Linked DNA regions of Struthio camelus. The protein of the gene in region 1 purifies or fractionates together with the protein of each later gene. This does not show direct contact. Links are inferred from orthologs where the notes say so. Each region holds a gene or a part of one and is shown in the gene's direction. Other genes may lie near its edges.

Region 1 (7,590 bases):
TATCTTCCAGTATTTTGTATTATGATCCTTCCTGTATTTTTGGTGGGAATACTCGTCTCCCTCAAAAAATCCTCGTATTCATGGCAGTGATTTTTCTTGAGCATCTGTTTCCGAAAGGAGATATTCCAGGGATCCAGCCAGGAAACTCTAAATTCTACAAAACCCTCTCACAAAACAAACCTTTTCATGCTCTCTCTTAATAGTACATCATGTGGTGTTTATATAATTGTGTTTAAAATATCCTTGGCTATGTTGTTTTACAGATTTTTTAAAAAATAACTTATACAATCCTTGTTTTTCTCTGTAGATTATTTTTTGTATGGGGAGTGGGGAATCTTTTGTCTTACGTCCTTCTGCTCTTTCCAGCCTCTCTCCAACCTTGCAGAGATGCTCTTTTCACTAGACATATGTAAACAATTATTTCCTCTGCTGCATGACCTGATTTTCATTGTTAATAGTTTTAACAAGTTAAACCTTTTGCCAGTGAAATTCACAGTACAAACTATCACCAGTTCCTTATGGAGCTGGGATAATCCCTGCTTGGTTTTGGTTGCAACGATACGCACCCTGCCTGGGCTTGCCCACTAGAGCTTATCTCGGCCAGGTGAAGAGGGGAGAGCCAAACTGTCATCGGTCCTAACCCGAGTGGACCAGAACCAAGTAAAGATGGAGCTTTGGTGAACCGACCTTTAAGTTAATAAACTATTGATCTCCCCTTACAAAGGAATCTGTGCTTTTTCCAAATTCAGCGCAGCCACCACCCTGACCAGAGGCAGGTGAAGGCTGTGACGCACCACGTGTCTTTATTTTACTGGACAAGGAAGCTGTCCTGCTCAGAGCTCCTGATCGGCCCCAGAGCATCTGTGGGCAAGATTGCTTATGAACTGCATCTGCAAAAACTTAGACACGTTTATTCTCATAAAGGTCTTTTACCCTCAGAAGAAATGCACCTCCTGAATGTCCCCCGTAGTCACAGATCTCCAGAGCCCTCAAGTAGTATTGACGCTGTCGTTGCTTCATTATTAGCATTGATATTGCATGATCAGCCCGAGCTCCGCAGCCGCGGAGGGCTGTATCCCGCACGGAGCATCGCAGGCTGTCGGCACAGGCAGTGCTCTGCCTGTGGCTGGCTGCCACAGGGGCTCGCTCCCCTTTCCCACCCATCCGCGGCCCCCGCGAGCCCCCGCCACATCCCTGGTCCCAGCACAGAGCTGGTGCCCTCGGGGCCCACCTTCCCCCTTCCGCTAGTTGGTAAAGGGGAGGCGATGCTGGTGTCAGGGAGTGCAGGGAGCTCTGGAGCCTTTTGTTTGTTGTGTTGGTTTTGCAATGTTTAATCGGGGGCCAGGTGCCCAGGGTAGTCCCTGGGTATCTGGAATCGAGCCTTATAGGTGTGAAGAGAGAAAATAAATGAACCTTCCCCCCACAAGGGAAGGTGCTCTCTGAGCTGTGCTGCTGTGGGCTTGTGTGTCTTCTAGTTCTTCACGTTTATCAGATGATAAGCGTGAACTAATGAGATGGTTTACTGCATATCCTGATTCTTTCTGTTGCTCCAGCATCCCGCTTTTGGTCTTGGGCCAAACCAGAGGTCAGAAGTGGCGTGAAATGCTTCTGGCTTCTGCCATTTAGGCTGTAAAATGAAAAACTTCTAATTCTGTTGCTGTGTCATACAGTCAGAAATGGGAGCTGTGAATGAAGAGTACTGTGTCAGCTTTGGCTTTCAGTTCTCTGGCTCACAGTGGCTGCCTCTAAATACTGTTCCGTGGTATATTTAGATGTACTGAAATGCTAAAAAAAAAGAAAAGAAAAAGAAAAAAGATGTTTACCCTTACATCCTTGGCATAACTTAAAATACATACTGGGTGAAGCAATGCAATTTAAGATGACCGGTCCCCAGCGGTCTCAGCTTTATCCTGCTTCCGCTGCCCTTATGAATCCCAGTCTATGGTGGACAGTGCCAAGAGGACCAAATTCTGCACAGTTTGGCTTACACAACAAAATCAGTTTCCAGTATTTCCCAGGGCATTATCTAACTCCCTCAGAAATCATTCTTGGAAAGTAATAAAATTCAGATTATTTATCCAAGCTATTGCAGTGTTTGCTCAGAGCTATTAAAGTCCCTCTGACATCAGTATGCTCAAAGGATCAAAGTGGCTGTGTCTTCCAGATAAATGCCTATTTAGTCAATTTATTAAAGCACATTTCTCTCTTGTCTCTTGGCACCAGTGACAAATCTATAATAGCTGTTTTCTGGAAAAACCTCTTAGAGTAGCCTGACTCCTCGTTTGCTGTTTGGCTGCGAGGGCGCATCCACAGCCCTCTGCTGTTTCATAGCTAGCAAGTGGGGAACACACATCTTAAAAATCATTGCTTTGACTTTCCATTACAAAGAAGGGGCTTTTAAGAGCTCGTGTACAGCATCTGAAGCCAAGAACCTCTCTGCTCTCCAGCCTATAGCAGCTGCAAGGCTGAGGTGTAATACAGCTACACAGCGCTACGGCAGAAAGGTCCACATTTTGTTTAGCCTTGTCAGAGGCAGGACCTGCTTTTCAGGAGCTTGAATCTGCTTTTAATGAGTGCCTGATATGACTCAAGACTGTGCTGTCTTTACCACTGCGTGATTCCTGAGTCACCTACCACAAGTGCCACTAATTCTTTCTTTCTTCCTATGACATCTCTCTTGCTCTTTCTCTCCGAACGTATTTTGAGGAAATGCAGATGCTATGAACACCTGACTATACGTTCTCCTAAATAGCATCAGTTACAGATAGCAAGGAGGCTGTTTTAAGTAGGGTGCACAGGAGCTGCCTGACCCCAGCCCGAACAGAGCCAGCTCTGACGCCGTAATCAGGGGGAACGAGCCAGGCATCACGCACGGGCTGAGGGTGCCAGAGGCTCCCAAAAGAAGAGCTGGTGTGGTACCAAACGTGACTGCAGCATTTAACCCGCTATCAGATCCCCCGAGTTCACAGAAATGTCACAGCTGGTGAAAAAATCCTTCCCTAGATAGCAAGGGATGCAGAAATCACTCTGCCTCACCTGACTCAGGGAGCCTGGAGGGTCGGAGCGTCCCTGGGGCCGCAGGAGCGGTGGCCGCATGACCGCAGGATTTGGGGTCTGCTCAACCACTTCCCTTCCCGCGCCGCCTTCTCCCGCTGCCAGACGGCGGATTTGATGCAAAGGCCCAGCTCAAAGAGGACTGGCCTGGGGCAGCCGAGACCTGCACCAGACCGCTGGAGTTGGCGCCGCTCGGGAGCGCTAAGCCAGCCCAGCGTCAGGTCGGACCTAGCGGCCCGGGTCACCCTTAGAGCTGCGCCGGCAGCGCTGGGGAACAGCAACCAGGGCGGCGTTTCCGCGAAGGAGAAAGCGCGGGGAAGGCCCCGAGGGTGCAGCAGGCACGCGGCCGGCCCGGGCACCGTCCCCTCATCGCGTAAGAGCAGCCGCCCCGCGTCGGACCAGAGGTCCGGCACTCAGCAACGCGGCAGCTGCCCTCACGGCTCGCTGCACGGGGCCGCAACAAGCAGAGCCCGGGGGCTACCCCAGCTCTTCCTCACCGGTTTCCAAATCCCTAAGGCAGCTAAGGGCAGGATGGGGCGGCGAGGCGTGCAAAGCGCGTTTTGTCTCAAAGGCGAGGGCAGAGCATCCCGCGGGGTGCTCCCAGCCCGACCTGGCTTTGGTGAGAGCAGGAAGGTGCGTGGAAACGCCAGAGCAGCCACAGCGAACGCCGCAGCCCGCAGGCACTTAAGAGCAACCCTGCGTTCAGGAGCGCGGGCTGGTGCTGCCGCTTGGACGGAGGAGAGAAATTACACCCGGCGCTGTAATCAGCGCGGGCCGCTGTCCCGGCTGCTGAGCAGGAAGGGAGCAGCGTACGTTCCCACGAGCGCAGCGCCGCCGGCTAAACACCGAGGCGCCAACTCGGTCCCCGGCGCGAGGCCTGGACCTCCGCCGAGTCACCCCGTGCCCTGAAACGCCAGCCGCCGGGCGGGAAGCTCTGGTGAGCGGCTTCGCGCCGCTTTGGGACGCCGCTGGCCGCGGCGACTCCCCTCTCGCCCAGCAGAGCCAAGCTCCCCGCTCGTCCGGGAAAGCGCCGGGCGCCGCGGCCGGCTGCCCCCCGACTCGGCGTCTGGGGGGACCCCGCAGCTCGGCTGCCCTTCGCCCTGCCCCAAAGGGGAACCAGACCGCCGGGGAGACCGGCCTGCCCCGGGCCTGGCGGGGAGCGGGACCCCGCGGAGGCTTGGGGGAAGGCGGCGGCGGCCGGACATCGCTGGCCCGGGCCGAGGAGGCGCCGACGGGAGCCCGCAGCGGCCCCGGCGGCCAGGGCTGCCCCGCCAGGAGGCGGCGCACGAAGGGCGCTGCGAGCAGAGGGGAGCGCGGGTAAGGACGCGAGGTGCTCAAGGAGACGGGGAAAGGGGGGACGCCGCGGGGGCGCTGAGGAGGCGGCGGGCCGGTGGCTGCCGAGCCCCGCAGGCCTCCCTGCCCCGGCCTCCATCTTGGGGGTGGAGGAGGGGCTGCCCGCTCGCGGGCTCGGCGCTCGGCTGGCGGGGCTGCCCGCTCGCGGGCTCGGCGCTCGGCTGGCGGGGCTGCCCGCTCGCGGGCTCGGCGCTCGGCTGGCGGGGCTGGCGCGCGGGCCGGCGGCGGCGTGGCGGCGGCGGCGGCGGCAGGATGGTGAAGCTCACGGCGGAGCTGATCGAGCAGGCGGCGCAGTACACCAACGCCGTCCGCGACCGCGAGCTCGACCTGCGCGGTGCGCGCCGGGGAGGGGGGGGGGGACCGGGGCCGGGAGGGCCTGGGCCTGGGGGGGCTGCCGGGGCCTACGGCGGGACCGGGGCCTGTAACGGGGCGGGGGGGGGGAGGGGCCTGTCAGGGCCGGCGGTGGCAGGTGCGGCTGGGGGGGTCTGTGGGGGGGAGGCGGCGGGGGCCGTGGGGCGGCGGGGCCCTGACGGCGGGAATCGTCGGGCGGAAGGGCCGCGGGGGCCGTGGGGCCCTAACGGCGGGAGCCGTGGGATGGTGGTGCCGCGGGGGGTGTGGGGCGGAGGGGCCTCGGTGGCAGGGGCTGTGGCGGTGGGGCCTGTGGAGCGGAGGGGCTGTGGAGGCGGGGGCTGTGGAGCAAAGCAACTGCGGGGGGTGTGGGGTGGGGGGCCTCGGTGGTGGGGGCCGCGGGGCAGAGGAACCGCGGGGGGTGTGGGGTGGAGGGGCCTCGGTGGTGGGGGCCGTGGGGCAGAGGAACCGCGGGGGGTGTGGGGTGGAGGGGCCTCGGTGGTGGGGGCCGTGGGGCAGAGGAACCGCGGGGGGTGTGGGGTGGAGGGGCCTCGGTGGCGGGGGCCGTGGGGCAGAGGAACCGCGGGGGGTGTGGGGTGGAGGGGCCTGGGTGGCAGGGGCTGTGGGGCAGAGGAACCGCGGGGGGTGTGGGGCGGAGGGGCCTGGGTGGCAGGGGCTGTGGGGCAGAGGAACCGTGGGGGGTGTGGGGCGGAGGGGCCTGGGTGGCAGGGGCTGTGGGGCAGAGGAACCGTGGGGGGTGTGGGGCGGAGGGGCTGTGGCGGTGGGGGCTGTGGGGCAAAGGAACTGCGGGGGCCGTGGGGCGGAGGGATCATGGGGCGGGAGCCGTGGGACAGAGGGGCTGCAGGGGCGGCGGTGGTGGGGCCATGGGGCAGAGGGACCTTTGCTTTGTTGTGCTGTCCAGATGCCATCTAACCCCTGTCTGACGCTTTCTCCCCAAGGTTATAAAATCCCTGTTATTGAGAACTTGGGTGCCACTTTGGACCAGTTCGATGCAATTGATTTCTCTGACAATGAGATCCGTAAACTGGATGGGTTCCCTCTGTTGAGAAGGCTGAAAACTCTTCTGATGAATAACAACAGAATTTGGTAAGTGGTTGTACTTCAGCCAGATGGGCAGTGGAAAATGCTCTAGGGAAGCAAAGAATCCCGAGTGTGTGTCCATCTTTCAGTGGCGGGTGGTTGTAGAAGACCTGTTTGTTTCAATGAAAGAAATTGGCACCCAACAGCACGGAGTACTCTTGAAGGCCTGTTCAATTTGCCTGCTTCGTGCATTGCAAAAATCTGTCCAAGATCAGTATTCGTCTTTCAGACAGGACAGTAGGAGGTAGAACTTGGAATTTGCCCAGAGCCAGAGACTTGGGAGCTCATTTGTCATCCCTGTGCTTAGGCGATAGCAAAAATAAATCAAGCTGTCCTAGGGAGACTGGGGATACCTGCAAGTGCGTGCATATGTTGCATCTAATGTTTTTATGTTGATGCCAACCCAAACTTCTGATAGTGTCAGACTTGGTTGTTTTAAAATTAGGTACTCTAGATTACAGTCTTTCTATGCGTCTTTGCACTGTTGTTAGTTTCCAACCTTAATAAACCTTTGGTTTCTGTTCTCCCTTAGTCGGATCGGTGAAGGACTTGAACAGGCCTTACCCTGTCTCAGGGAGCTCGTTCTTACCAACAATAACATTGCTGAATTGGTAAGCTATGAGTACTGAACGAATCTTAACAACCTTAAATTATATATGTATGCCATCTTTATAATAACCTTTTTCCTCTATTTAGAAAAATATCATATCATTTTAGTAGTAGTTGTGATGTATTTATTTTACAGAATATGATGTGTGGCATGCAGTGGAACAGTAGTTTCAAAATCTTAGTGGCTTTCCTGTTAAATTAATTGCAGTAATTCTAAAATGGATATGAGATTCTAGGAAGAGCTTTGAGAAAAGAGATTTCATTACTTTGTAATTAAATATTTTTAGCTCTAGTTTTGAACTGAAGAAGGAAAGTTTCTGATTCTCAAAAAAAAAAGTGAAATACTCTTTTAAAACTTATTTCAGGTCACTTATACCAAAGTAGGAATCTCAAGCACAGTATTTCTTACAGTCTCCCTTTGAGTTACATAATAGGTAACAAAGAGCATTCGTGTAACTTCTTTGTAACTGCATTGTTATACTCACAAAAGTTAGGCAGATCTGAGTCTTTTATGTAGAATTTGAACAGAGTTAATAGCTAGTATGTCTGCTTACAGTTTTCTATCTCTTACTTCCGCGTTAAGACTGAAGCTTACTTTGTTGCTGTTTCTTTTCTTTCATATTTTTTGAATGTATGTTTTTCATAGTGGCAGTCAAGACTCTTAAGGGCAGCTGGCTGTCTTAAATTGTGTACAGTGTAATTACTTGAAACATTATTGACTTAGTAGAGTTGTCACATCTAGTAGTACAAATACTCCTCTATTTGCCAGTGTTTTCAAAAAGTAAGCTTGAAATGAATGTGAGGGTTTTTTTTTTTGTCACTGCTTGTGTGTCAGAGTAAAGGCTGCTAAAATTTTAAGGACTTTGTTCTCATTAAATGGATTTAAGGTTTCGTACTGTTTTCCCATTATGTAGGGTGAACTGGATCCATTATCAACTATTAAAACGTTGACTTATCTGAGGTATGTAATCTTGAAAAGAAAAGCTATTCTTTCTGTACTCCCCTATTGGCCTAGCTCTTTATTTCAATCTGGAATGCTCTCCTTTTTCTGGGCTGGAACAGGTTCTTTATGCTTAAAAGTTGAATCAATGAACAGCTTTTCCCCTAGACTTCAGGAATACATGG
Region 2 (6,875 bases), on another chromosome or scaffold:
TTAATTTAGATTGGATCATATTCAGATATCCAGCAAATATTCTTAAATTGCTAAAACTTTGAACTGCTTTTCAAACTTGTTTGCCTGCCTGTCCGACCTCTTTGCGTCTTCAGGCTCCTACACGGCCTTACCTTATGGACAGAAAAGCAGCTTTGAGAAGGGCTTTTAGAGAGATTTTTGAGTTCAGAGGCTAAAACTACCAAATGGAGTCGTACTTGATGAGAAAGGAGCAGTTGGTTTTCAATTCTAAATCATATTTCTATGTTAGAAAAGTAGCAGTTTCTTTTGCCAAGTAGTGTGATGAGGTTAATCCTGCTCAGCAAGTGGAGATGCCTGGCTTGTGTTCACGCACCTGAGCTTCCCTTGTCTGGGACTCTTGCCACTCATGCTGGGGCAGCTGCATAGCCACGCTTTACAGTCTGTTGTGCCAGCGTGAAGTAGGCATAGTGCCCGTGGGGACTTGTATCTGCTGTGAACCGGACTCTCACTCAGCTCCATTGGATCCATCATAGCCTGAATCTCTAGCTAGGATGTGTTGTGAATCCTGGAGAGAATCAGTCCCAACCTGCCACTCTTACCCATGGATTTGGAATGCGCTTGGCTGTGGGTGAAACTAGCACAACATATGCAGTCTTTAAAGCAGAATTGGATTATAACAGAAGAACTAACTTAATATTGTTTTTTCTTTTAGTGTGAAAAGAAGGTGAAAACGACAGTACTAACTGCAGCTCTTTTACTATCTGGAATCCCAGCGGAAGTGATTAGTCGCTCCATGGACACCTACAGCAAAATGGGAGACGTTTTCACAGACCTTTGTGTCTATTTCTTTACTTTTATCTTCTGCCATGAACTTTCTGTGTTTTTTGGTTCTGAAGTACCCTGATGGCTGTAGAACTCAATGCAGTAGTTACACGAAAGCTTTCTGTTCTGTATTCCTTTAACATCTGACTGTCCAAGCAGGTTTAAACCTTAATTAAAATTCTTACTGGTTTGAATGCTTGAAAGGAGCCTTGAATCCAGTCATTTTGGGAATGGAAGAACAGGGTCCCAGGCTGCCAGTTGTGTTAGTGCAGTTTATTTATATTCTGTGTCTGCCTCTTACAAATACGAAGAATAGGATGCAAGTGTCAGTAGATATATTTTGTTTTGTTAGATGATGCCCTTCTCACCCTCCTTCATAAACACTTACAAAGCTACCTTTGTTTTTTGTGGAGAGAACAAAAAGAAGGGATCAATTTTCAACAGAACCGTGTATGTGTGTATATATATATATATATATATATATATATATATTTATCCAGTACGGCTGTAGCTAGCAAGCTCTGCTCAGTTTGTGTTACTTCCATTTTCTTAACAAAAGCTCTAAATAAAAGAAATCCCTATATTCTGTTGTTCCAATTCAGAATGCTGAGGCAAGCAGCTGCTTCTGGAGAATGTTGGTGAAACATGCCACTCCATTCTCCTAATCCTTGCCTTGCTATAAATTTGTTGTGATTGTGATGAATTTCATTTGATGATTCTAGTGCAAAACAGCTAAGCAAAAACAAATATTATATATATATATTTCCTTTTGGTCTACAAGTGTCATCAATCAAAAGTAGAAAGAAACGAAATTCATCTCAACTGTTTGTGAGTTTCCGGCAGCCTGTTAATCCTAGCATAGCTCATACCAGTGTTTTCGTTCAACCTCGCCACCCCCCCCCCCTTTTTTTTTCTTGTAGCAATAGTTTACCTCATGCAGGGAAAGATGTATATATTGGCAAGCAACCCGCAGTATAAAACATTTGCTCCGTATATGTAAAAATTACAAGGGAACTGTTGTTTTTCTAGCTCCTTGCAGGTTTGCATAAGACGATTTTGAATGTGACATTAATTTCTGTATTTTTTTCTCTGTTTATTACCAGACATTTGCATGTAAACAGGATCTCAGTTGCCTAGGAGTTCTGCTCCTGCTGCTTAATAGTACTACTAGCCAACGGCATATACTCTTTCATTCAGCAGAGCTATTTATATGTTAACTGATTTGCTGTCTTCTGTCCTGTGTTTTTGAAATTCCCCAATTCCCACAGAAAAATCAATGTCTGATGGGAGAATAGCATCTTAAATTTTCCTGTGGGAGTGCAGCCCCATAGGTGAAAAAGAAAACAAATACAAATGAATCCTACAACTGGGAAAAGTAGCAAGCTAGTGAGTGTTGTCTTGTTTCAGTCCTATAAGATTTTAATACAGTGAGAGGAAGGTGGCTTCATTCCAAATAGCCAGCCTTTCATGCTGACAGTCTGTAAAAATGTATGTTGAATCTCAACTTGATGTTATCATCAGCTTGTAGTTTTCCTATTAGAATTGGGACTTTCAGGTAATCCAGGCTAATATTTGTCTTTTTTTTAAGTGTAGAGAGACACCTAGTTACGGTGATAGCTGCATACATTTTAGGGAGCAAAACTCATTGTGTGTGTTTAAAATAAATGGCTCTGCTTTCTGCTTAATCGTTTCTGTTAAAGCTGCCTGCTGTAATCTTAGCACTGCATTTCTGACTCCAAAGTCAGATATGTGTTTGTGGCATGAAAAGAAGAAGCTTTCGTTATGGATTTGACGCTTTCAGTTTTTACTTGTTATTTTATACTGAATATCTTGTTGCAGATGTCCAGGTCTGGGCTGTAAAAGATTCTGACTTAGGTCTATTAGCACAGATATTAAAAGGTTCTGGCTAAATATTAGACAAAAGTTTCAGCAGGTTCAAATAGCTGACATTTAAGTTAAGGTTGAAATACGTAAGTAATGAGTTTGCTCAAAAATTATTCTTTCGCTTATATGCCCAAATGTAAAGACAAATAAATTTCGAAAATACCAGGTACTAGCGTCTGCAAAAAGCACGGAATTTCTAGTCCTGAGCACAAATATTTTAATCCTGATCAGCTAGTTAATAAGAAAGCAGGTGACCCACCTGCCTTATTGTATTTTCACACAGCCGCTTTTAGAATCCTTTTGCATAAAAAATGATTAAGCAGGTTATTCTCTCAAGTGGTGAAAGAAATGTTGCTACGAGACCTAATCTGGGAACTTTTCAGTCTGAAAACACCTGGTTTTATGTGACAAACTGTTCAAGATGGGATTGGAATATGGTCTTCCTGTCTCTTAAGTGAATATACATAGAGCCAGCAGGGACTTCACTAAATTACTCTTTGCCTTTGATCAAGAAATGAGTCTCCTTTTCCCCGTTTTGGCTTACCTTTGTTTATGTACATAATTCTATTTAATGTTTATTGCTAAACTGGTTGTTTTCTATTAAAAATATATTTGTTACCCCCCCCCCTTCTTCATTTCGTCTGTCGGCCTACCATCCTTTGTTGTAAAAGTCACGGTTTATTAAACGCGTGCCGAGTTGGTAGTTCCGCCAGGAACGCTTTGACCCTCCTGAGAGCAGCGGGAGCCCGCGCCCGAGCCTCGCCGCTGCGCCGGCCGTGGGCCTCTCCCCTGTAATTCGCGTTTGTCGCTTATGTTTAGTGTCAGCTGTCAACGGCCTCTTAAGAGGGGCAGTCACAGCAGGGCTGGCCGACGGCTGAGCGGGCTGTAGCCTCGAGGGTATGAGAAGAAAGGGCGTCGAAGCCCGCGGGTGGCAGGCGGCGTTGGCTCCGGCCCTCCCGTGAATCGATTCTGCCCCCGGAAACTTTGGCTTTTGGCCGGCGGTGAGAGCGTGCAGGTGAGGGCTGTGATCAGCGGGGCAGCCAGGCCCCTGCGGTGAGCCGCCGCCACCGCGTGTCCCGAGGACCTTTTGCCCCGGTTGGGTTAAAACAGGGGAAAATCGGGGGCCGCCGCCGCTTTCCCAGCGGGCTCCGGAAGCGGCGTTTGCCGCGCGGGGCGGCGGCGCGGCCTCCGGCCGCCAGGGGGCGCCGCGCCGCGGCGGCGGCCAGGAAGGTGTGTGTGTCGGGGGGGGAAGGCCGCTTCCCGCCGCGGCGCTTCTCGTCGTCCGGGGCGCTGGGGGCGCGGAATGGCCGCCGCCGTCTAGCGTTGGGCTCGCGCCGCCGCCGCCGCCGCCATGGGCCGGGAGTCCAGGTGAGGCAGCGCGGGGCGTCGCGGCCCGGCCAGACCCGGGGCGGCGGCCGGGAGGCGCGCGGGGAACAAAGGGCCGCGGCTGGGCTGGGCTGGGCTGGGCTGGGCCGGGCGCGCCGCGCCGCTGAGGCGGGACAGGCCGGACCGGGCCGGACGGGACCGGTCGGGACCGGACCGGACCGGACCGGACGGCGCTGCGCTGCGCTGCGCTGCCGTCGCCACGCCGCCCGCCCGCCCGGGCTGGTGGCGGCGGCCCGCGGCGCGGTCTGCGGCCGGCGGCGAGGAGCGACACCCGCCTTTTGGGTCGCGGTAACCGAGCGGCACCAAACGCCCCTTTGGCCTGCGCGCGTTCGCTTCCAAACAGTAAGAGCCACGTCCCTCACCTGGCAGGCGTTATTCCCCGTTAGCTCTTTTTGTTTTTTTTCCTTTCTCCTCCATATTCCGTTTTAAGTTCACGCCGGGTCACGTATCTTTTGTCCTCTCTCAGCTCGGATAAGCGTCGCGGTAGGTGTTTGAACCGGCTCAGCAGTAACGCGCTCGCGGACTCGGTGCTTCGGAGCAGACCGGAGCGGTTCAGAGCTGGTGCTAAGCCTGCCAGGTTTTAAATCCTCGTAGTAGTTTGCAAGTGCTCTTATAACATATATCAGTTTGTGACTACTAGTTTAGTTTACTCCTGGTTAATTAGCTTAATTAGCTTAGTTATAGGGGTTTTATCGCTGAAACTGCAACGCAATAAAAATGCATACTTTGTGTCCCTACCTGCTGGCGTCCCTACACTGCGAAGACATCCTAGGTTCATAACTTAGATCCCGCCTGACAGAGGCAAACGAGTTGAAATTTTGAGTACCGTCATGGGTTCAAACTGGCGATTCACTGCAGAGCTGTGTACTTAAAGAAGAGCTGCGGACTCAAAACCTTGTCCTTTTTGGCCTGTTGTGTCAGCTCGTCTAATAAAAGCCCTATGGAACTTGCCTCCGGGGTCACAGCCCCTCGTCGCTGAGAAAAGGGTGCACGCGTGTTTCAGGCAGCGACCGAACACGGCTCCCGTAGATACAGCTGAGTGAGTTTCAGACTAGTTAGCTGAGCGGTTGTTAGCTGCTGGCTGCGATGCTCGCACGGGACGCGGTATCTGCTGGGGACCCAGCTCCAAACTGCTGGCGCTCGAGCCGGCGGGGCTCCCTCGCTTGGCACAGTTCAGCTCCTCTTCTGATAGTGCTGCCAGTTTTTGTCGGGCTCTGAGGTCATGCTGAGCAGAAACGTATTTATCACACGAGGCCGCAGGCCTCTGAGGAATAATTCTTTTACAAGCAGGTCCTGCAGGCCCCGCTTCTCCCAGGCCCTGATGCGTACACACGTTTTTCTGTTTGTGGGTTTGGATAATGAGCTGGACCAAACAACTGGCTAAGAATAATCTAAAAAAGTGGAGTTTAATTTGTGTTATTTCTCTAGTTTATTGCCTGAAAACAGAATCTTCTAAGTAGAACTGAAGAGATGGTAAGAGAGTGAGAATGAGTGGTGGGTGGAGAAGGGTGGGGTGGGCTGCATGTGCTGGAATTGCTGTTGAAGGAAATGGTCAGCAAGGTAGAGCTTTTGAGACTTGAAATAAGATACCAGCCTCACTGCACACTCTAGAAACAAACATACCAAATACCGGGGGGGGGGGGGTGTGGGGAGGGGGCGGGATGTGGAGCAGCATTTTAGTGACAGAGATGAGGAAGAAATCGGAGATACCTGATGCTGACAGATGTCCTGCACGTTCAGTTGTACTGCTGATAGGCAACGCATTGATATTGTTGTGATTCCAAACGTGTATGATACTTGAATATACCAACATACGGAAATGAACTGTGTTACTTTTAGTGCCGATACGGTTGTAGTATAACCCTATGTGGTAATGAGGAAAAGGGAGGAAAGAAGTCAAGGGCTTGAGGTCTTGCTTTCTTTGCTTCTTCCTGCTTCCGACGCATTGCTACCAGGCTGGTGGGGTGAAAGGGTCTGTGGTCTCGGACTACCAGAGCATGAGGGAGGGAGGAAGAGGAGATGGTCCCCGTAGAGGTCCCTCTGTAACTTGTACGCTGAGGTGAAGAGTTTTGAGAACAGCTCCTAGCCCAAACCCCTCTCCCAGTTTGACTGGGATAAGAGAGCATTAGTGGAGGGCGAAAAAGAGATGCCCATCTCCACCACAACCCTTGAAAGCCTTGCTAACTTCTTGAGGCTTGCGTTGAGGTGTCTGATGGCGTTATGGAGTTTCTTTTGGTGTCAGCATCATAAAGGAATTGACCACTGCTGCATCACGTATGTTCCTTTAGTTGCAGTTTGACCACTTTTCCCTTGAACAGAGGTATAACTTACTTGGCTTACTTGGGTGAAAAGCGACAAAAATTAGTTTTACCTGTTTGACAAATTTGATGACGCACCTTCAAACAGTTGTAGGCTTTTCATGCATGTAACAACAATCAGTGGATTTCTAAAGGGGCAGTTATTTTTCTTGATGTTCCAGTGTTCTCATAGTGCTGTTACATCAGAGCTCAAAAACCAACGAAAAATATGACCAAGTAATCCATCCAATTTTGACACCATTAGGAATATGTTTGCATTAATCGTTTTTGCAAGAATGTTAAAAATGTTTAGAAAGTGAATAAATCAAAGAAATTAAGTGATTTTTTTTTTGCTCTCCAAGTAAATATGACAAATCTTTTAACTGCTAGTTTTTCTCATATTCGCATTCATCTTTTTTATGAATTTACAATACAGGCATTATCGGAAGCGCTCTGCATCACGTGGACGCTCTGGTAGCCGTTCTAGAAGTCGTTCTCCGTCTGACA
Region 3 (7,207 bases), on another chromosome or scaffold:
CTCCTCAGAGACGCCCCAAAACCCCCATGGACTTCTCAGGGACCCTCTTGGAGACACCAGGACCCCCAACACTCCTAGGGACCCCCCCGGGACATTGGGACCCCCCCAAGACCCATGGGAACCCCCTAACACCCCCAGACCCTCTTGGGGACAGTGGAACCCCCCCAAAACCCCCAGGGACCATGCGGACCCCCCCCCAGGGCCCCCCTTGGGGACACCAGGGCCCCCCCCGGGACACCACCCCCCGTCCCTGTCCCTCCCCAGGGGACCCCGGACGTGACGGAGTCTCTCTCTTTCTCTGTCCCGCATCTGTCTGTCCCCGTGTCTGTCCCTGTCCCCGTGTCCTCATCCCCGTCTGTCCCCATGTCCCTGTCCATCCTGTGTCTGTCCCCGTGTCCTCGTGTCCGTCCTGTCCCCATGTCCTCGTCCCCCTCGTCTCCATCCTCGTGTCCTCATGTCCGTCCCGTCCCTGCGTCTCCACGTCCTCGCGTCCGTCCCCATGTCCTCGTGTCCGTCCTGTCCCCATGTCCTCGTCCCCCTCGTCTCCATCCCCGTGTCCCCATGTCCTTGCGTCTGTCCCCATGTCCTCGTGTCCGTCCTGTCCCCATGTCCTCGTCCCCCTCGTCTCCATCCCCGTGTCCTCATATCCGTCCCGTCCCTGCGTCCCCACGTCCTCGCGTCTGTCCCCATGTCCTCGTCCCCCTCGTCTCCATCCCCGTGTCCTCATATCCGTCCCGTGCCTGCGTCCCCACGTCCTCGCGTCTGTCCCCATGTCCTCGTGTCCGTCCTGTCCCCATGTCCTCGTCCCCCTCGTCTCCATCCCCGTGTCCTCATATCCGTCCCGTGCCTGCGTCCCCACGTCCTCGCATCTGTCCCCATGTCCTCGTCCCCCTCGTCTCCATCCCCGTGTCCTCATGTCCGTCCCGTCCCTGCGTCCCCACGTCCTCGCGTCCGTCCCCATGTCCTCGTCCCCCTCGTCTCCATCCCCGTGTCCTCATGTCCGTCCCGTGCCTGCGTCCCCACGTCCTCGCATCTGTCCCCATGTCCTCGTCCCCCTCGTCTCCATCCCCGTGTCCTCATATCCGTCCCGTGCCTGCGTCCCCACGTCCTCGCGTCTGTCCCCATGTCCTCGTCCCCCTCGTCTCCATCCCCGTGTCCTCATATCCGTCCCGTGCCTGCGTCCCCACGTCCTCGCGTCTGTCCCCATGTCCTCGTCCCCCTCGTCTCCATCCCCGTGTCCTCATGTCCGTCCCGTGCCTGCGTCCCCACGTCCTCGCATCTGTCCCCATGTCCTCGTCCCCCTCGTCTCCATCCCCGTGTCCTCATGTCCGTCCCGTCCCTGCGTCCCCACGTCCTCGCGTCCGTCCCCATGTCCTCGTCCCCCTCGTCTCCATCCCCGTGTCCTCATGTCCGTCCCGTCCCTGCGTCCCCACGTCCTCGCATCTGTCCCCATGTCCTCGTCCCCCTCGTCTCCATCCCCGTGTCCTCATGTCCGTCCCGTGCCTGCGTCCCCACGTCCTCGCGTCTGTCCCCATGTCCTCGTGCCCACCCGTCCCCGCGTCCCCACCCTTGGGGCCCCGCGCCCGGGGGGCAGTGAAGGACGCCGACGGGGTGCTGTGCCGCTACAAGAAGATCCTGACGACGTTCCAGAAGCTGAAGAGCATGAGCCGGGCCTTCGAGCACCACCGCGTCGACCGCAACACGGTGGCGCTGACGACGCCCATCGCCGAGCTGCTCATCGTGGCGCCCGAGAAGCTGGCCGAGGTGGGCGAGTTCGACCCCTCCAAGGAGCGGCTCCTCGAGTACTCGCGCCGCTGCTTCCTGGCCCTCGACGACGAGACCCTCAAGAAGGTGCAGGCCCTCAAGAAGAGCAAGCTGCTGCTGCCCATCACCTACCGCTTCAAGCGGTGATGGGCCCCCCCTCCGGACGCCTGGGCCCCCCCACCTCCCCCGACCCGGCCTGGAGCCCCTGCACCCCACCCCGGACGCCTGGGACTCCCCCAGGAGCCCCCCTCAGCCTCCCCCGGATGCCTGGGCCCCCCCAGGAGCCCCCCCGGATGCCTGGGACCCCCCCCAGGAGCCCTCCTCACCTCCCCCTGGATGCCTGGGACCCCCCCTCAGCCTCCCCCGGATGCCTGGGCCCCCCCAGGAGACCCCCCCCGGACACCTGGGACCCCTCCAGGAGCCCCCCTCACCTCCCCCTGGACGCCTGGGACCCCCCTGGACACCTGGGTCTCCCCAGGAGCCCCCCTCAGCCTCCCCCGGACACCTGGGCCCCCCCAGGAGACCCCCCCTGGATGCCTGGGACCCCCCCAGGAGCCACCCTGGATGCCTCAGACCCCCCCAGGAGCCCCCTTCAGCCCCCCCCAAACCAGCCTGGAGCCCCAAGACTCTCCCCTCAGACGCCTGGGCCCCCCTCCAGCTCCCCTCAACCCGGCCTGGAGCCCCAACACCCTCTCCCAGACGCCTGGGCCCAGCCCCAACCTGGCCTGGAGCACTGAGACCCCTCCCGGATGCCTGGGCCCCCCTCCCAGACCCCCAAACCACCCCCCAACCTGGCCTGGAGCCCCCCCCCAGCACACTGGGGACCCCCGAGAGCCCCCCGGACGCCTGGGCCCCCCTCCCAGACCCCCAAACCACCCCCCAACCTGGCCTGGAGCCCTCCCCCAGCACACTGGGGACCCCCGAGAGACCCCCCCGGACACCTGGGCCCCAGCCAGGAGCCCCCCCCCCCGGAAGCCTGGGCCCCCCCGGGGGGTGAGGGGTCCCCTGCCCCCCCCCAGCTCGGTGTCAGTGACGTTTCTGCCCCCCCCCGTCACCTGGACCAGGGAAAAAGCAGGAAAAGGAAGAAAAAAAAAAAAAAGAAAACACCCTGGAAAAGGGAGAGAAAAATGTACAAAAACAACCGGTTTCTGGCAGAGACTTGACATGACAGAGGAGAAAGCGGCGATTTGGGATAAAAGCGACGTTTCCGGCTGTGTCTTTTCCCCACCGTGTGTTGGGGGGGGTCAGGGGTCACCGGGACCCTCGGGGTCAGGGGTCACCGGGGTCAGGGGTCACCGCGAGGGCTCCCCCCGCCCAGGGGGCACGTGCGGCTCCCGCCTGCCCGTGACGACACTTCCGCTGGCGGCCGGAAGCGCCGCTGCCCTCCGCGCGCGTGCGCGCGCGCTGGCTCCGCCCCCCCGGCGGAAGTTGCCGAAGCGGCGGTGGGCGGGGCTGGCGGACCGGAAGTCGCCCCTGGGCGGAAGCGGAAGTGAGGGAGCCTCGGCGAGGTCGCGGCTGGGAGCGGTGCCGATCCGCCCGCCGGGAGCCGCTCGGGGAGGGGGGAGGCGGGAGAAGCAGCTGGACCGGAGCGGCCGCTCACGGGCAGCCGGTCCCGGTCGCCGCGGCGGGGAGCGGAGCGAGGAGCGGGCGCGGCGGCGGCGGCGGCGGCGGCGGCGCAGCCGCCGCCCGGAAGTCGTCGAGGTCCCGCCCGGAAGTGACGGAGCAGCGAGGCGGAAGGAGCCGAAGCGGTGGGGGGAGCCCGAAGGGAGGCGAGCGCCGAGCGGGTAGAGCGGAGCGCAGGCGGAAAGAGCCGAGCGCCCAGCGAATAGAGCCGAGCGCGGCCGGAGGCAGCCGAGCGCCGAGCGGGTAGAGCCGAGCGCGGCCGGAAAGAGCCGAGTGCAGGCGGAAAGAGCCGAGCGCCGAGTGAATAGAGCGGCGCGCAGGCGCAAAGAGCCGAGCGCGGCCGGAAGGAGCCGAGCGCAGGTGGAAAGAGTCGAGTGCTGAGCGGGTAGAACCGAGCGCGTAGAACTGAGTGCAGGCGGAAAGAGCCGAGCGCCGAGCGGGTAGAGCCGAGCAGAGGCGGAAAGAGCCGAGTGCAGGCGGAAAGAGCCGAGCGCGGCCGGAGGCAGCCGAGCGGAGGCGGAAAGAGCCGAGTGCGGCCGGAAAGAGCCGAGCGCGGCCGAAGGGAGGCGAGCGCCGAGCGAATAGAGCCGAGCGCGGCCGAAGGGAGGCGAGCGCCGAGCGAATAGAGCCGAGCGCGGCCGGAGGGAGCCGAGCGCCGAGCGGGTAGAGCCGAGCGCGGCCGAAGGGAGCCGAGCGCGGCCGAAGGGAGCCGAGCGCGGCCGAAGGGAGCCGAGCGCGGCCGGAAGCGGCCGAGCGCGGGGCCGGAAGTGGCCGAGCGCTGCCGAGCGGGGGAAGGCGCCGCCGCGGCCTGCGCGGGGTCGGAGCCGGAGCCGCAGCCGGGAGCGGGGCCGAGGCCGAGGCGGGAGCGGGGCCGGGGCCGCCATCGCCGTCGCCATCATGTCCGACTTCGACGAGTTCGAGCGGCAGCTCAACGAGAACAAACAAGGTACCGGCGCGGTGGGGGGGGCGCCCGGGCCTGGCTTTCCCCTCCCCCCCCCCGTGGGTGTCTGGGGGGGGGATCCCCTTCACCCCCCCTTCACCCCCCATCACCCCCTCTTCACGCCCCTCACGGGGTCCTCGCACCCCCCCATGGCTCCCCCCCCACCATGAACCCTCCCCTTGGGGGGGGTCTCTCCCCCCCCCTTGAGGGGGTTCCCCCCCATCATGAATCTCCTTCTTGAGGATCCCTAAATCCCCCCCCTTCAATGTGGGGGCCTCCTTGAAGGGGTCTCTTCCGCTTCCCCCCCCCATGGCTGCCCCCCATTTTGGGGGTCTCTTCTCCCCCCCCAACCCCCCATTTCCCCATGGGGCTCTTGGTCCCTGCTGCTGGGGGGGGAGGATGGGGGTCCCCGTGGGCCCCCCCTGAAAAGGAGGGTCTGTGCCCCCCCCCCGTCTTTGTTTTGGGGGCGCCGGGGCGGCTCCTCGGCCGTCGGCGACTCCCCGTGGCCGAATCCCCCCCTCCCCGCCCGCCCGGCGCACGTGGCTCCTCCCGGCCTGCGGGAACGCCGCGGTGTGGGGTCGGGGGGGGGGAAAATGGGGCAGGAGGGGTCGTGGGGGGGGGTGGGCTGCCGACCCCCCCCCAACGCATCCCCCTGCGCCCCGACTGCCGGCAGAGCGTGACAAGGAGAACCGGCACCGGAAGCGCAGCCACAGCCGCTCGCGGAGCCGCGACCGGAAGCGCCGGAGCCGGAGCCGCGACCGGCGGAACAGAGACCAGCGCAGCGTCTCGCGGGACCGCCGGCGGCGCAGGTACGGCAGCGGCGGCGGTGGGGGGGGGGCACCCGGACGCCTGGGCCCTTCCCGGGGTGGGGGGGGGAGCCGCTTCCCTTTCGGAGCCCGCGCCGAGCGCAACAGCCTCTCCTTCCGCCCGCAGGTCGCCCCTGAGCCTCTCGGGTCCCCTGAGGTGAGTGGCCGTGGGCGCGGGGGGGGGGGGGCGGCGGCGGCTCTCGGGGGGCGGCGCGGGTTGGGGAGGGGTCTCCCCGCCGCCCCCCCGACCCCTGCGTGCCCCCCCCGCGCAGCCGCTCGCCCCGGCACGAGAAGAAGAAGAAGATCCGCAAGTACTGGGACGTGCCGCCGCCGGGCTTCGAGCACATCACGCCCATGCAGTACAAAGCCATGCAAGGTGCCCGCCGCCCTTCCTCCCCCCTCCTCTTCCTCCTCCTCCTCGCGCTCCTCGGGGCGCTCCGGGGGGGAGCCGCCGCCCTGACGGAGCCCCCCCGCCCCGCTCTCCGGTGTCGCCCGCAGCCGCCGGCCAGATCCCCGCCACGGCGCTGCTGCCCACCATGACGCCGGACGGGCTGGCCGTCACCCCCACGCCGGTGCCGGTGGTGGGCAGCCAGATGACGCGGCAGGCGCGGCGCCTCTACGTGGGCAACATCCCCTTCGGCATCACCGAGGTACTCGGGGAGGGGGGGGGCCGCCGCCGGCGCCGGCCGAGCCGCCGCTTCCCCAGCCGGAGCGCGGGCCGACGGCGGGCGTTCGGGAGCGGGGCGTTGGGGCGGCGGGAGGCGGACGGGCGCAGCCGAGGGATGACGCCGGCCACCTGGAGGAGCCATCCGCGACACGAGCTGGGTCAGGTCTCGGCGCCGAACCCCCCCCCCCTTCCCCCTTTTCCCTCCCCCCCCCCCCGGGTCTGTGTGCGAGCGGAAGAGGGTCCGGCCCCGGAAGCGGGATCACGCCGCCTCCGGACGTCTCCTGGACGTGGCCCGCGGGAGCGGAGCCCCACGCAGCGGCTAGCGCTGGAAGCCACCTCCTTCTCTGCTCTTTCTCTCTGTCTTCTCCCTCCCTGCTCCGTTCTCTGCTCTTCTCTCGCCATCGCTCTCTCTCTCTCTTTTTCTCTCTCCTTTATTTATTTTGAATTTGACTCTCGGCCTAAAAAACAAGATCAAAGAGTTGTTTCCATTTCTTTTTAAAGTGGAAATTGTGGGGCTGAAATCCCTCGTAGCACAAAAGTTTGCTACCGCCGCACCAGGCAAGTAGGTCGTTTCCCGCTTCCCGGCCCCCCCCCGCTCTCGTCTCCGCGCGCGCGGTCGGCTCGCCGGGCCCCGGGGGTCTCGCCGGCCGGCGTCACCGCGCCTCCCCCGCCTCTCTCCCCCCCCCCAGGAAGCCATGATGGACTTCTTCAACGCCCAGATGCGCCTCGGCGGCCTCACCCAGGCGCCCGGCAACCCGGTGCTGGCCGTGCAGATTAACCAGGACAAGAACTTCGCCTTCCTGGAGGTGAGCGCGGCTCTGCCGTCCCCCTCCCGCCTTTTCCCCCCGGCGGGGGGAAGCGCCGCCGGCGGCTCCGCTCACCGCCGCCCCCATTTTCCGCCCCCCCCCCCCCGCAGTTCCGCTCCGTGGACGAGACCACCCAGGCCATGGCGTTCGACGGGATCATCTTCCAGGGGCAGTCGCTGAAGATCCGCCGGCCCCACGACTACCAGCCGCTGCCCGGCATGTCGGAGAACCCCTCCGTCTACGTGCCGGGTGAGGGGGGGGGGACCGGGGCGCGCGTCACCCCGTCCCGTCCGGCGGGAGGCAGCTACCCGCCGCTGCGGCCGGCCCGGTGCCGCTTGGGCCGCCAAACGGGCTTTTGGCGGCCGCGGCGGGAGCATCCGGGGGTGCGGGGTGAGAAGGGGGGGGCGTTGGGGGTCGCCCCGGCCTCACGTCCCGCTCGGCCCCCATCCGGGGGGGGGCGAGAAGGGGGGGGGCGTTGGGGGTCGCCCCGGCCTCACGTCCTGCTCGGCCCCCATCCGGGGGGGGCGAGAAGGGGGGGGCGTTGGGGGTCGCCCCGGCCTCACGTCCCGCTCGGCCCCCATCCGGGGGGGGCGAGAAGGGG
Region 4 (7,082 bases), on another chromosome or scaffold:
AGGCTGCAGCATGCATTAAGATGTTAGATGATCCACAAAAGGAGAAGAACATATATGTTCCAAGCAGGAAAAAAAAAATCCATTAACACTTGCAATCATCCATGAGATTTTTAAAAAAAAAAGAAAAAAAAGAAGTAAGAAGCCAAGGCTTCAGACTTCCTATGTTCAAGGAACTAACTACTCTTTTAAAATAGTTCTTCTTTCTTCACCTGGGTGGTACTTGATATAGTATTCACCACCAGGAGTAGTAACAAACAAGTGCCAAATAGCCCTTTTTATATGCAAAAGGGCTGTATAAAGGAAAGTGATTTTTATCTCCCTTTGACTCTTACTTTCATTTCTCCAAAGTGACTGCAAGGAGAAACAGCAGTGGAAAAGCTGGATGGAAAGAAAAGCCAGGAATCCCAAATTATCTGCCACTCATTACTTCATGCTGTTTCATTCAGAATAGGTTTCATCTTTATGCAAAACATATGTTTTCTAGTCCCTGATTAAAAGGAAACAACATACTTGCAGTGCATAAGGATCAATGAGAAGATTTTTTAAAAAGCTGTATCAGTCTTTTGATTTGCTTGATATCAAGCAACCCTTTCCTAAATTCACAAGTATTCACTTAATATCTGCTGTGTTAAAATATCTAGATACAAATGGCAAGCAGTAATTCCACAGTTTTTTTTCAATAAAAACTAGATTTTAGACAATCTATGTATAGTACCCATCTATACTTTTCTTTTTCCTAATTAAAGCACAGTCAACTCAGTATTTCATACTAAGAAATTACAGCTGAATGCTTGGAAAAAGTTAATCTTGTCTACAGTTTAAGCAAATAGAAGTTTTATTCAGTGAAGTACTGTCTGACTTCTTCCAGGCTTACTTATATACTACCCTGATGGTAAGAGAAAGGCAACTAATTTAAACCAGCAAGCGACTCCCATAGGCTGTACAATGACAGCATCTAGAACCTCATATGATCAAATTTTACTCACAAGCAATGTAGGATATCTGGACATGATACAGTTTAACATACGTAAGAAAACTATCAAGCTCTGTCAACTGAACATTGCGATTCAAGGATAACAAAGCACAATCAAGACATTAAATTAATCACTCTCAACACAATTCTCAAAATAAAACATTATCGACTGGTTGCACAAACAGATCTTGAAATATTTCACTTTTTCGGAAGCGCACCTTGCAACTTCAGACAACACCCAGAAGCTGCAAATCAAGAAGAAAATAAGGAATGCAGTCAATATGGTATCAGCTAACAATTACCAGCAACAAACGAATCAACTACAGTGAAAGATCCACTTTTGATATTAATAAAGCTATGATTCATGTGAAGTTTCATACAGCTTACCTCATTTACACATTCATCATCCATGTATTTTGGATAAAAAGGCAACTCATAATACCATCCGAAATACTAGTCAAACACAGCATACTTCAGCTGATGGAGATGCAAACAAAGGAAAGGTCTCAACGTTGAAAACACGGGACTCTTGCCTAAAACCCTTACTAAGTCATTTTCCTAATCCTGATTCCGGCATGCAAAGAAGAGGTACACCTGTGTTTAATAAAAACAGATCTAAATACAGTACACTTTGCTTCACCCCTACAATACAATGAAGATTTTGTGATTTCCCCTTAGGTTTTATCCTGTCAACATTTTTTAAAGAATTCAAGTTATTTCTTCTCAAGCTAAGGCATTTAGGGGTGTGATTACCAGAAAGGACAGTAAATGAAATTAAAGCATTTAACTTGTAGATGTCACTATGTGTCCACTCCAATTCTGAAAAAAACACGCAACATGAAAGGAAGTCACAGGTACCTGCAATATACTGCTTCAGGTGCGACTACATGCAACGTATACGCCTAATGTGAAAGTGGAAAGCCGGCATCAGCGAGCTGTACTTTCCATTTATTCTGTCCGCAAGCGAAACGGGCAGAGAGAGAGGCGTTTTGCTGTCTGGAGAAGTTGGAAGCTACATGCTTCTCGGGGTGGCGTTGCATGCTCTTCTGCTACCAGCCAGCCGAGATTTCCAAGACAGCTGAACAATGGTAGCAGTGTTTCAGCAGGCAGATTTGCAGTGAATTTGATCGAATCCGCTCGTCTTCAAAAGGCAAACCGCACGCAGCTCCATCGCATCCATCCCCACCTCTTGCCCTCGGTAGCCCCAGTTACATAAATTAAGCGCAGGCAGCCGGCTCCGAGCACACCTCTGCTCAGACCCGCACGACCCGCTCGCACCTGGCTGCGGGTGACGTCATCCCTCTTCCCCCCACACAACCGCCCCAACCGCCGACCCCAGCCGCGCGGGGGTGAAGGGGGGGGGGAGGTACCGTCCCTACCGAGCGCCCCTGCCCTCTCGCCGCCTCACGGCGTCTGGACGGCCAGGAGAGCGTCGCGCTCCGCCACAAGCGCGGCCCCCTCCCCTCCTAGCGGTGGGGAAGGGGGGGCTCCGGAGCCCCGCGGACGCCGACAGGGGGCCCGCACCTGGCCGGGGAGGCGGGCGCGGGTCCCTTTGTGGGGCAGGCACGTCTCTCGCAGCGCCAAGGGAAGGCGGGCGGGCGGGCGGGCTGCCGCCCCGGCGGGGAAGGGAAGGGCGCCCGGCGGCGAGGAAGGGTCCCGCCCGTCCGCCCTTAGCCTCACGGGCTGAGGGGAAAGGGCGCGGGGGAGCGGGGAGGGCACTTACTCGCCAGCGCGCGCGTGTCCCGGCTCCCGTGCGCGGCCGCCCCTCACACCTTCATGCCGCTCGCCTCAGCCCCTCTCTCCGCCTTCTCTTCGCGCTGCCCCCGCGGCCGTTGGGCGCTGGAACTTCAAACGGCTCCTGCCATTCTGCGCGCGCCGAAGCCGCTGGCTCCGCACCGGGGGGCCGGGCGGGGGGGCGGGGGAGGAAAGAAGGAGGAGGAGGCGACGGGGGCGCGGAGCTCCCTCGCAGGCTTCACAATAGACACAGAACAGCGTGTGTGTGTGGGAGGAGGAGGGGCTTCTCCCCCAACCCGCCGAGGCGGGGAGGGAGGGCTGTTTACCCGGCCGCCGGCGCCCCCCCCCTCGCCCGCTCCTTGGGTCTGGCCGGCCTGTGCCCACGCGCCGCCGCCGCCCCACGCTCCGCGGCGGCAGGCAGGCAGGCGGGGAGCGGCACCCCGAGCCTCGCGCGCACCGCCCACCCCGCCGGCGGCAGGTGGTACGGTCCGGCCCGCCAGCCCCGTCTCTCTAACAGGGGGAAGGCGGAGCCCGGCATTGTGACGTACACAAAGCCGGCTCTTCGCAGCCAATCAGCGTGGGAGGGGCGGGGCCGAGCGGCGGCGGCGGCCGTGGCGGGCGCCGCGGTGCTCGGCGGGCCCGTCCCGCGGCCGCCGCAGGTGCCCCCAGGCGGGGAAGAGCCCGCCCCGCAGTTACGTTCCCCCGAAACGGTGGTGAAAAAGGTCTTCGTGCGGGAGAGGATGTGGTCGCCCGCGAACTGCTGCGCCCGCTCTGTGGGAATGTTTTCTCCTGTCGTTACGTCAGGCGCAAGCAGATGTAAGAAAACCAACCGAGCAGGGGGCTGTAAGCTCCTTCAGGGATGTTTCTGTACGCACTGGAGGCAGCGGGTGGCTGCGCTGCGCTGCCCACGGGCAGCCGTGCTCTTCCGGGCTGCAGCTCTTACCCCGTCACCGTCATCAGCGTGTTCCTTGGGAACCGCTAGGAGAAGCCCCCAGTCCCTCGTTTCCCCGGCTAGTGAGACGCTCTGACTTCCCGTGACCAGGAGGCAGGACAGCGGCGGCGGCGGCGGCGGCGGCACGCACCTACCTACCTACCTACCCACCTTGCCCGCTCGCCCGGCCGCCCTCCCCGGCAGCGGCGGCTCCGCGGGGCGTGCGGCAGATGTAGTCCCGCCTGGGAGTCCTGAAAGGTTAAACATCAACAACAAGCAGCGAGAGATTAAACCGCCCCCCCCCCCCTTGCCGACAGCCCGCAGATAACGGTAATTTATCTTTTAAAACGTATTGGAAGGTTTTAATGAGGCACCTGTTAACGGCCAGCCCCACCCGCTCGTTCCGCGCGGGGCGGAGGCGGCCAGAGGCGCTGCCAGGACCTGCGCGTTCCCGTCATCCCCCGCGCCAAGATGTCGGCGGCGATCGCCGCGCTCGCCTCCTACGGCGGCTCCGACTCGGAGCCGGACTCGGAGCCGGAGGCCGAGGGGGGCCCGGGCCGCGCCGCCGCCACCACCACCACCACCGCCGCCGCCGCCGCCGTCCTGGCCAGCCGCGACGCCGTGCTGCACCTCCGCGCGCCCCCCGCCGCCCCGCCCGCCCTGCCCGTCGACTCGGCCCCGGAAGTGGCCGTGAAGGTAGGCGCTGCCTCCCCGTCGGCCTCCAGCGCCGCGCCGCGCCGCGCCGGGCCGGGCCGGGGGGCAGCGCGCCCCCCGCCTTGGCGGGCTGCTCCGGGCCCGTGGGACGGGCCGGGGGGGTCGCTGCCCTCCGCCTCGCCTCGGCCTCACGGCCTGCAGCCCGCCTGCCGCGGCAAGGCCCCCCCCCCCCGCTCCCTGGGGAGGCCTCGGGGCTCAGCGGGGCGGGTGCGCCAGAGAGCCTGGCGGTTTGGGTCGGTTTGTTTGTTTTTTAACTGTAGCGGCTAAGCTTGTTAAAAGGCGTTATTGCTGTTTGAAAGCCGTGCCTTGCTTGGAGTTCAACAGATATCCCTGTCTCTTGTTGCGCTGGGTTGAACATGCAGCGTTTTTCTGCGTGGTTTGCCCAGGTGCAGGGGTGAAACGGATACCACCTTGACAGGCTTAGTGCAACTGAATCCTCTTCTAAGAGCAGTAGTGAAAGCTGATCGGTATTTCTTTTTTCACTCTAATGTTGCCTGGGAAAGCAGAACAGGATTGTATTGGCTCCTTTTTGTGACCAGAGAAAGAGGTGGCGGGAGGTGTTGGCTTGGTTTGGGGTTTTTTAGTATGGACAATTTGTTTCTGATCTCAAGTGTGTAGCTCACTGTAGGGAATATTAATGTAATATCATGCTGCTTCCAACTAAAACGTTCCATACTTTGTGCTAAACAGGCAGGTAGAATTCTTCAGTTTGTTGTCCTCAGTCAATGTATGTGCTATTACAGATGGTCGTATTTGCGCGTGCATGTTGTTGCACTTATTATATGTGTGTTTTATTATGCCTTGAAGTCTAGAAGTTTGTAACTTCTTGATTTGCAGCTTTTGGCAGACTGTCTTGCATGAGATTTGAAAGGAGCGCTAACTGATATCTGTAATGTCTTTTGAAAGTGAAGGAGGATAAGTGTTGGCTGTGCTCTTTGTTCTTCTAAGGCTGCAGCAACAGGTTTCCCCTTTACTGTGCCAGCACAAACATTTATGGAGTTATTTGGTGAATGAGATCAGGAAACTGATGTGGCTGAAGAAAATAATTTTTCACTTATTGCTCCTTTGGATCAGATCCTCAATGCAGCTCACAATGTAGCTGCGTGAACACTGTCCCAGTACAGTTAAGCAGCCGTTGCAGCAGTGGGAAGAAGAAGCTGGGGGAGTTAGCTGTGTCAATAGCTTATCCCATTCAAAGTTGTTCACCAAACTATGCTCTGACAGGGGAGGATCCGCCAAAACCTCTAGAACGGTCTCTATGGGTTCTGCTACCCAGCTACAGAAATGTTTCATTAAAATGTTGTATTTCACTTTTGTTTGAAATCATAGATGAGATGCATATAACTAAAAAGATCAATTACTTCAAGCTAAGGCTTACTGAATACTCAGTGTACTGGAATTTCTGTTAGCACCACAGTCGCCTTTGAGAAGAAACAGACAATTTCTCTAAAAAGTGATATCAGGCCTTTTTTCCAGACTTGTGTTGCTCAAGAAAGGATCAGTGGTCTCAAGATCGTGGACAACGTGATCTCGGTGCCTTCCATGTCTAAAAATAAGAGTGATCCACCAAAAAAAAACCTGGAAACTTGCTGATCGTCCCCTTAGGATTTTTCCCAATTCTTCAGGATTGTAATTTAGCCGTAACTGAACAAACATAGAAGAAATGATGCTCGAGTGTAGGTCTCAAGAATTTTCTCAGTGCTGCATTAGAAAAACAGCAAGTTGAGTGAGGAGGAAGGCAGAGTTACAGTTCATTAGTATGGTTTTCCACTTGTGCAAACATTGTTTTGACATGAGTAAGGATCGAGTACGCTTAAATGTGTGATTATATATTACACAAGGGACCAGGAATGGAAATAAGGGAGGAGGGGATGCCATCCTCTAAAAGAAAGGATAGCAATAAGAGGGGAGGCTGGGAGGGTTAGTCATACCGGTCAATATGAATGACAGCCACGTTCTTGTGTGTGGCTTTTTGGCAGTTAAGAATATAACTCTTGAGTAGTTGGTGCTCTGCTTTCTAATTCTAATCGTCGTACCTGTTTCTGGTTAGTTAGTCTTTTCAGCCTGTTTACTTGCGTAGACTTGAGATTTGGATGTACTTTAAGAGGAAAAGGTTCCTAACTATTCGCAAGGCATAATTACTACCACACCAGCCACAGCGCTTGGTTGCTGGTGTTAGTTAAATGTACTTATCAAACATAGCCCTCAGATGGTACTCCAAGATGTAGTTCTTTATTCTACAAAAATCAACTGAGTTCTTGCCTCTAAATACATCATAAATATAACTGAGATCTATACTAATGAGTTGTAACTGTGTTTTTAAAATGTGAGAGGATGGCTTTTGTTACACCCTCTTACAGTGTGCTTGTTATGATTTGTCTACTGCTGATCTTGATGTTAAATTTACTTATATTAAATAAGATTGAGTTATAATTATTGGTCACTTCCATCCAGTCATACTTTTCTTTTAATTAACCTGTATTAGGAAAGCTGAATTAAATGATTGTATAGATTTCTACTGATGTCCCTCAGCTCCTGTGAAGTACTGAACAAAATGGTAGTGTCTTGAAGACAGCAGAGGAAGAAAGTGCACAATTCTGGTCCCCTTGTCACAGTTTGGATGTATTAGAACTGCAGAAAGTTCAGAGAAGGACAGCAGGGTTGATCACTGGGGATGTACCACATCAGTATCACATCAGGGATGTACCACTTCTGTTTGAGGAATTACTG

The links. The genes of interacting proteins can lie anywhere in the genome.
Region 2: the proteins of SNRPA1 (region 1) and DDX46 purify together in Homo sapiens (affinity purification with mass spectrometry; 3 studies listed by BioGRID and IntAct, counting the BioPlex papers as one, with this or other methods). This does not show direct contact. The link is inferred for Struthio camelus from reciprocal best matches to the Homo sapiens genes SNRPA1 and DDX46.
Region 3: the proteins of SNRPA1 (region 1) and U2AF2 fractionate together in Homo sapiens (co-fractionation; 3 studies listed by BioGRID, with this or other methods). This does not show direct contact. The link is inferred for Struthio camelus from reciprocal best matches to the Homo sapiens genes SNRPA1 and U2AF2.
Region 4: the proteins of SNRPA1 (region 1) and CDC40 purify together in Homo sapiens (affinity purification with mass spectrometry; 3 studies listed by BioGRID and IntAct, counting the BioPlex papers as one, with this or other methods). This does not show direct contact. The link is inferred for Struthio camelus from reciprocal best matches to the Homo sapiens genes SNRPA1 and CDC40.

Annotation. Positions count from the first base shown.
Region 1 is NC_090953.1:4,274,769-4,282,358, forward strand, and holds the start of SNRPA1 (U2 small nuclear ribonucleoprotein A'), read left to right. Parts: upstream 1-4,579; 5' UTR 4,580-4,659; coding exon 4,660-4,741; intron 4,742-5,714; coding exon 5,715-5,862; intron 5,863-6,388; coding exon 6,389-6,467; intron 6,468-7,379; coding exon 7,380-7,426; intron 7,427-7,590. UniProt on the Homo sapiens protein: Involved in pre-mRNA splicing as component of the spliceosome. Associated with sn-RNP U2, where it contributes to the binding of stem loop IV of U2 snRNA.
Region 2 is NC_090954.1:4,147,751-4,154,625, forward strand, and holds the start of DDX46 (probable ATP-dependent RNA helicase DDX46), read left to right. Parts: upstream 1-3,860; 5' UTR 3,861-4,036; coding exon 4,037-4,053; intron 4,054-6,804; coding exon 6,805-6,875. Other genes in the region: guided entry of tail-anchored proteins factor CAMLG, read left to right, coding at 692-883. UniProt on the Homo sapiens protein: Component of the 17S U2 SnRNP complex of the spliceosome, a large ribonucleoprotein complex that removes introns from transcribed pre-mRNAs.
Region 3 is NW_027182594.1:221,155-228,361, forward strand, and holds the start of U2AF2 (splicing factor U2AF 65 kDa subunit), read left to right. Parts: upstream 1-4,192; 5' UTR 4,193-4,284; coding exon 4,285-4,333; intron 4,334-5,000; coding exon 5,001-5,136; intron 5,137-5,260; coding exon 5,261-5,290; intron 5,291-5,405; coding exon 5,406-5,509; intron 5,510-5,631; coding exon 5,632-5,783; intron 5,784-6,489; coding exon 6,490-6,606; intron 6,607-6,716; coding exon 6,717-6,855; intron 6,856-7,207. Other genes in the region: CCDC106 (coiled-coil domain-containing protein 106), read left to right, coding at 1,595-1,911. UniProt on the Homo sapiens protein: Plays a role in pre-mRNA splicing and 3'-end processing. By recruiting PRPF19 and the PRP19C/Prp19 complex/NTC/Nineteen complex to the RNA polymerase II C-terminal domain (CTD), and thereby pre-mRNA, may couple transcription to splicing.
Region 4 is NC_090944.1:60,428,996-60,436,077, forward strand, and holds the start of CDC40 (pre-mRNA-processing factor 17), read left to right. Parts: upstream 1-4,067; 5' UTR 4,068-4,109; coding exon 4,110-4,334; intron 4,335-7,082. UniProt on the Homo sapiens protein: Required for pre-mRNA splicing as component of the activated spliceosome. Plays an important role in embryonic brain development; this function does not require proline isomerization.